Macaca mulatta: one gene and its partner. The protein of the gene in region 1 interacts with the protein of each later gene in a biochemical or structural test. Links are inferred from orthologs where the notes say so. Each region holds a gene or a part of one and is shown in the gene's direction. Other genes may lie near its edges.

Evidence for each region.
Region 2: the proteins of GJD2 (region 1) and LNX2 form a complex in vitro, tested with the Homo sapiens proteins (2 studies listed by BioGRID and IntAct, with this or other methods). The link is inferred for Macaca mulatta from reciprocal best matches to the Homo sapiens genes GJD2 and LNX2.

The regions. Positions count from the first base shown.
Region 1 is NC_133412.1:12,070,563-12,074,695, reverse strand, and holds the start of GJD2 (gap junction delta-2 protein), read left to right. Parts: upstream 1-1,218; 5' UTR 1,219-1,936; coding exon 1,937-2,007; intron 2,008-2,993; coding exon 2,994-3,888; 3' UTR 3,889-4,133. UniProt on the Homo sapiens protein: One gap junction consists of a cluster of closely packed pairs of transmembrane channels, the connexons, through which materials of low MW diffuse from one cell to a neighboring cell.
Region 2 is NC_133422.1:7,597,572-7,601,219, reverse strand, and holds part of LNX2 (ligand of Numb protein X 2), read left to right. Parts: intron 1-17; coding exon 18-386; intron 387-3,110; coding exon 3,111-3,254; intron 3,255-3,648.

The DNA.
Region 1 (4,133 bases):
CTCTCTCCATTGTTAGTGGACACGTTTACTCCTTTGCAGTGAAAGGCTGCTTTCTTGGGGTAAGGGTGTCAACCCTAGCAGAGGATTTCAGTGATCTTTCTGGCGGCGAAGCTTACGCCATGTGTTTAAACATCATTTTATGAAGAAGTACGCTGTGAGTGGACTCAGGGACATGCCCTGCACCTTTCTTCCCAGTCCCTGGGCCACCAGCTACCCAACCACCTCGGTTGTTCCAGAAGTGAAGGCTCACCATGGTGTGGCTTATATAATACACATAGTGCTATGATCCCTGTGGATAATTAAAGCTAGGTCCCTTTATATGCCTAGGACAAGTTAACAACCCTTTCACGGTTGTGTTTTCAAAAGGATGACAACTACTTTCCCATTGTACTTTTGTACATTTACATCAAACACTCCCAACTACAGTGTCTCCTAATACGGACCCCTGGGCTAATTAGCAGCTTAGTGTGATTGTTTCAATTTTTCAGCGACCAATTAAGTAGTTGCTCTAGACAGAACTGACAACACAATGTGAATTTTAAAAACCGCGATCTGCTGGTTGAGGGGAGAAAGCCAAACCCAGTAAAGAAAGTGGGGGCAGGGCGAGGCTGTGAGTGGCTCTGTTTCTGCTAGCAGAATACTGGGTCTTAAATTCAGATTAAATCACAGCTTACCTGACGAGTATCCCCCGCCCTTCCCACTAGTAAAATAATAACAATAATTTAAAAAGAGCAGAGCATCTGGGTTACTGCAACGGGAAGCGAGACCTTTAACCATAGCCACCCTACTCGCTCATTGCGAGGCACCTGTTAGATGCGCTCTTGTACCCTGATCCCCATACAGAGAGACAGCTCCACACCTGCATTTACCCTTCAGCCTAAATGGATTCCCATCAAGCCTTTCCCACTTCAGTGTCGGATCCACAGAGGCACCGAACCGCAGCCACTCTCCAGAAGCACTCTCAGCCCCTCCGTCCCCTAAGGGAGATTTAAAAGTGGTCGCCCCCACTCGCCCTCCCCTCAGCCAGCATCTCCATCTAGGGAAGGAATTTCAGTTGTCTCCCGAAGGCCAAAAGCGAAAAGGTGAGGGATGCACTGAGAGAAGAGAAGAGAAGATACCCAACTCACTCCCCTCCCCACTCACCCACGCGTCCGCTCCCGGCTCCCCCCTCCGCCTGCTTGGGTCTGGCGGTCAGGTGAGGTTACCTGGGCTCCCCGAGAAGCCCCGAGGGGCGCTGCAGTCCTTCTTTTTCGAAATCGCCCCGCTCCCCGCCGGGCCCCCAGGACTCTTGCCCCTCTCCCCCCCGCGCGCGTCCCCGGCCCCTCGGGCTCCGACGCGCAGCGACAGCCGCACAGCGCGCTCTGCTCCCCTCCGCCGACCTGGCGTGACGCAGGCGGAGACTACTTAAGGGCGGATTAGAGGCGGCGGCCGCGGATCCCCGAGCCCGGCATTCGGCTCCGCGCGCTCAGCCCCGGCCTCGCAGGCTGCCGCGCCGGAGCGCCAGGTGCCCGCCGAAGTAGCAGGAACAGAGCCGGTGCCCGGACCCTCCCCCGGCCCCCAACCTGCGGCAGAGAGCGGCGCCGAGACCCCTCCTGGGCGGGCGAGCGCTCAAAGACCTGCAGGCTGCCACCCCGCCCCTCGTCCAGGCGTCCGCGGGATCCAGACCCGAACCCCGGACGGCGCCCGAGGTTCGTGCTCTCTCTCTGGACCGCGCCAACTGCCCCATCGGTCCGGACGCGTTTGGATTTCTTTCCCCATTTCTTCTGTTTTAAGTACAATAATAGGAAAGGGGGATTCGAGGATTTTTTTTAAAAAATGCTTCTTTAATTGGGAGGCAATTCACTCCCATTCTGGAGGTGCGGCCCGGGGAGGGGCCAGGAGCAGGAACGTGCCCGGTGCTGCCCAGTCTTTGTCTGCTGCCTCCGGATGCACAGCGATGGGGGAATGGACCATCTTGGAGAGGCTGCTGGAAGCCGCGGTGCAGCAGCACTCCACTATGATCGGGAGGTAAGGGCGACAAGCCGGCAGTCAGCGGGCCCCGTCGGGCGGCCCCGGGAGTCCCTTCTCACACCCGGACTGAATCCCCCGCTCCAACCCCCAGCCCGTCCTCTGCCTCCTCCCCATCGTCCTAAGTCAAGGCTCCGGTGTTCCTGGCGATGAGGGATTACTCCTGACCAACTGCCCATCCCTTCCCCATCAAGCACCACTGGGGCTTCACTCTTCCCACATCAGAAAAGAAGCCGCTGGCTCAGTCTTGGTCCCTCCACTCTCCAGAGTCAGAGCCAATCTCCATCCGGTTCCCTAAATAGAATCTACAAAGAAGGCAGGATTGCATTTGGACAGAGAAAGGCAAATGGGGAGATGGATTTGCTCTTCAGAGCAGATGCCTCTTTTCTCAACAAATAATTACTAAACTAAACTTATTTGGCCGTGTAAACTTACCGAGCCTACACACCCAATTGCCATTTTTGTGTCTGTATATCTATGTCTCTAGAGTTCAATATATATAAATATATATTCATAGCCATCTGCTTATATAAAGCATTAAATTTAATATTCATGTTGAGAATAAACTAAATATACCCATGGAGTAGTTACATGTAACACACCCTGTGTGTAGACCTTGAAGCATGCACCGTCTGTAAAGGTATTCTGTGTGCATTTGCCATATCCAGAGTGAAGGTGTGTTTTGTGTTTCTATACATTCTATATAGAGAGATGAAATCTATCTGTTCCAAGTAGACTATGTCCAGTGTATGATGTTGTGTGTACCTGGGATCTCTATAATATGAAATGTTCCCAGCTTACCAGCACTCAGCAGAAAAGGAAGAGACAAAAAGCTTTCCCAGATTCCCAGTTCAGTACCAGCCGGGGATGGACAGCTCCCCAGTCAAACGACTGGAAAACATCAGCAAAGGGAAGGGAGGAGCAGGGGTTTCCTGTCAGTGACGCAGCCCGTGAGAACCTCTCTCCCTCCCTCTTCCTCTGCTCAGGATCCTGTTGACTGTGGTAGTGATCTTCCGGATCCTCATTGTGGCCATTGTGGGGGAGACGGTGTACGATGATGAGCAGACCATGTTTGTGTGCAACACCCTGCAACCCGGCTGTAACCAGGCCTGCTACGACCGCGCCTTCCCCATCTCCCACATACGTTACTGGGTCTTCCAGATCATAATGGTGTGTACCCCCAGTCTTTGCTTCATCACCTACTCTGTGCATCAGTCCGCCAAGCAGCGAGAACGCCGCTACTCTACTGTCTTCCTAGCCCTGGACAGAGACCCCCCCGAGTCCATAGGAGGTCCTGGAGGAACTGGGGGTGGGGGCAGTGGTGGGGGCAAACGAGAAGATAAGAAGTTGCAAAATGCTATTGTCAATGGGGTGCTGCAGAACACAGAGAACACCAGTAAGGAGACAGAGCCAGATTGTTTAGAGGTTAAGGAGCTGACTCCACACCCATCAGGGCTACGCACTGCATCAAAATCCAAGCTCAGAAGGCAGGAAGGCATCTCCCGCTTCTACATTATCCAAGTGGTGTTCCGAAATGCCCTGGAAATTGGGTTCCTGGTAGGCCAATATTTTCTCTATGGATTTAGTGTCCCAGGGCTGTATGAGTGTAACCGCTACCCCTGCATCAAGGAGGTGGAATGTTATGTGTCCCGGCCAACTGAGAAGACTGTCTTCCTAGTGTTCATGTTTGCTGTAAGTGGCATCTGTGTTGTGCTCAACCTGGCTGAACTCAACCACCTGGGATGGCGCAAGATCAAGCTGGCTGTGCGAGGGGCTCAGGCCAAGAGAAAGTCAATCTATGAGATTCGTAACAAGGACCTGCCCAGGGTCAGTGTTCCCAATTTTGGCAGGACTCAGTCCAGTGACTCTGCCTATGTGTGAGAGGGAAGGTTTCACAAAGGTCTTGGGGATGGCAAGAGCCCCAAGGCAGATGACTGCTCAGAGGTGGCTGTGTCCACCCTCATTTATGTGACTCTCACCATTAAGATGTAGGATAAGACTGGATAAAAGAAGATTTTGCATCAATGGGAGAAGAGGAAAAGTGGAACCATTTTCACATATCACCTAATTGGTTCCACAGAGACAACTGGGTCGAGTGATGAAATGGATGAATTGGACTTCTTTGG
Region 2 (3,648 bases), on another chromosome or scaffold:
CAATTCTTTTTTTCTAGGTCAACAACTACAATATCAGCAACGTGTCCCATAACTATGCCAGAGCTGTCCTTTCCCAGCCGTGCAACACACTGCATCTTACTGTGCTTCGAGAGAGGCGCTTTGGCAACCGAGCACACAACCATTCTGATAGTAACTCTCCGCGAGAAGAGATTTTCCAAGTGGTTCTTCACAAACGGGACTCTGGTGAACAGCTTGGCATTAAATTGGTGCGAAGGACAGATGAGCCAGGGGTTTTTATTCTTGACCTGCTGGAAGGGGGGTTGGCTGCGCAGGACGGCAGGCTCTGCAGCAATGACCGAGTGCTGGCCATCAATGGGCACGACCTGAAGCATGGAACTCCGGAGCTTGCTGCCCAGATTATTCAGGTAAACCCTCTGGGCCTTCATTCCAAAGGCTTGGCCGAAATGATCGTATAGCAGTATTTGTTTTCATTGGCCAATAACATCAGAATTCAGGGGACATTTTATATTTCGTTAGAAAATCAGGTATGGCTACCTGAATTCTTTAAAATCCACACTAGTATAGCTTCATTGGAGATAGTCTTTTCTAAAAACTGTATCCCTGTGAACTTTGGGGATGATTATTTACAGAGCGTAGGCTCTACTGTTTCATACTCATTTCTCATTTGGGTCCTGGGTTCTATTATTAAGCCAGATGTAGCAGATGGTAGTGTCCACCTTTTAGAAGTGAGGAAAGGGAGGCTTAAAAGAGCTGTGATTACCAAGGATCTGACTTACCTGGTCTCTTAACTCCCTGTCAGGATCTACATAAATAGGGGAAGAGTAACTCTTATCTCGGTAGTGCTTTGTTGTTGTTTTTAAGGAATTCACGGTGTTTAAAATACATGATAAAATTTGTCCTCATAGCATCTTTGGGACGTAAGTAAGGATAGTCATGATTAGAGGAGGAACATGTTTTTCACAAAAGCATGAAGACAGGTAAGTTGGAAAGTCCTCCAGGCAAGATCTACACGTTCTGCAACATGCCATAGCATTTAATGGTATGAGCAACTTCTCCAGTGATAAGGATGCAACAAAGAGAAGTTTTCCTTAAAGTCAGCAAAACAAAACACTGTAAAGGAAACCAGGAATTATGTCCTTGAGCATCAGGAAGTAGGCTAGGCCGATAGTCATTGAAAAATGTGTTTACAACACGGAAATAACAATGAAAATTTAAGACTATAAGAAAACCCTGGTCTCGGCCGGGCGCGGTGGCTCACGCCTGTAATCCCAGCACTTTGGGAGGCCGAGGCGGGCGGATCACAAGGTCAGGAGATCGAGACCACGGTGAAACCCCATCTCTACTAAAAATACAAAAAATTAGCCGGGCGCGGTGGCGGCGCCTGTAGTCCCAGCTACTCAGGAGGCTGAGGCAGGAGAATGGCGTAAACCCGGGAGGCGGAGCTTGCAGTGAGCCGAGATCGGGCCACTGCACTCCAGCCTGGGTGACAGAGCGAGACTCCGTCTCAAAAAAAAAAAAAAAAAAGAAAACCCTGGTCTCAACCCTCTTTATTGTATTGAGAGGAGATTCTGATATTGGTGTAATTTCATAGACTTGAGGCTTAAAGAAATTGGATGCCTTAAAATTTCCTCAGATTAAAGGCAACATTAGGACCTATGTCTGTGGATATCAGCCAGCAGCTGCACCACTAAAACCCAGCTCATCTTGAAAGAGCGGAGATTGGTGGGAGGGAGGGGAGAAAGGACGAGGAGGAAGAAGAAAGCTAATAGAGTTGTAGCATTTGTTTGAGTGAAAGAGTCAAGTGAGAGGCCGGATCAATAAGACAGAAAATAATAGATAGACTATATGTATTTCAGGCAACGTTTAAATTATCTCATCTAGTTCATTCATTTGGATGATTCTAACTAAATTTCTAACCAAAATGTGAAAAAAATACAGATACACAGGTAGAAAATATATTTTAAATTGTCTATGATCATATTTTATATTTGGATGTTATAGTTTCATCGTATTTTGTGCTATAATTTTCTCCAAATAATGGAAAACTGAAGTTGCTCAATTTGTTTCCTTTTGAAAATAAGTAAAAGCCTTATTGTTTTTGGATTTTAAAAAATAACATATACTCCATGTCTTAAAAGGAGACCAATAGTAAATGATTTTAGTAAGGCATTAAACTTGTTTCTCACTTATTTTCTAATGTAAGAATTGAAAATAAAGTGATTTTTTAACATTATTGACTAGAATCACGGGAGAGGTCTCCACTTTGTACCACAATTTCTTTAAAGCAGGCTATCATATTTTCCTGTAGGAATTACAGTAAAATGGCATTGTGGTCATGACGAAGAGTCAGCATCAAATAAATTAGACTTTTACTTTAAAAGGAAGCATTAAATAACTTGTAAAAATGTAACCAATGTAAACGTATGTTCAAAATATGATAGCTAACAAGCCTCTAAATTTAAAACGATAGTCATGAACCTCTAAAATAATTTAACACTTGAGATGTGTGTGTCACATTCACACACATATGCTATATATATACACACACATACATACAAAGTCTTGTTATGCAGGATTTCTGTAGTCATTCTTTTCAAGAATGTTGATGCTGATGTCCTATTTTTGACTCAGACCTATAGAGGCAGAAACAAAGCTGTGCAGAATTTCATTATTATTTCGGAAGTAGCCACCATGGAAATTTATTTCAGAAGTCACAATGGACTTTAATCAAGTTTCGAAGCAGTTCTTCCTTTTATTTTCTTTCCTTTGCTCTGTCTTGCAATATCAAGGCCAACCTTGAAGATGCAAAGAAGTATTACAAGAAAAGTTACCAGTCATGGGGAGATAAGAACCCAGGCAGTGTGACCACTTTGCCTTGGTCATTTTGGAGGTGGGGTTGCAGAGGGCATGCCCAAGAATTTTGTGTGTATGCGCTTCAACTGCAGCAGTTTTAAGATATTAGCTAATGAAACGAACTCATTCCTCTTGCCACCAGGTGCTTGCAGTCACTGCCCAGATGATCCCCTGGTACCGTGATTGAGAAGTGCATTGAAAGTTATACTGTGTGTAATCTTTAAAATTACAAACATCATTAGTCACTTGTGGTAATGTATTTGTGTTTTCTCCAGGCCAGTGGGGAGAGAGTGAATTTAACAATTGCTAGACCAGGGAAGCCCCAGGCTGGTAACACCATTAGAGAAGCAGGAAATCATAGCAGCAGCAGCCAGCACCACACACCACCACCGTATTACAGCAGACCAAGCTCACATAAGGTGAGGATTTTTTTTTTATGCCACCATCAAAGGATCATCGTTACAAGCTGGCAAGATTTCAATGAAGGTTTTTTGTGTGTCAGTCATACCTCAATAAAGTAGTTTTTTAAAAAAAGATTCAAATGAGGGTTGTTATTCTGTTGAAAAATATAGTTGTTTGGAATGTGAAATGTATATGTTTTGCTACCTTGGAGAGTGACTGCGTTGTTCCTTAGAACTAGAGATAGTTGCTTGGAGGGGAAGTTTCCTTTGCCAGGTGATAAACGAGAAGCATGAAATCTTCTACTTGTTTAATCCTACTTGAAAGTGGAATTTATCTTGGGTTGCTTATTTAAATGTAAGAGTTAGTTATTGAAAAAACATAATGAAGACAAGATTGATAAATGTATACTTG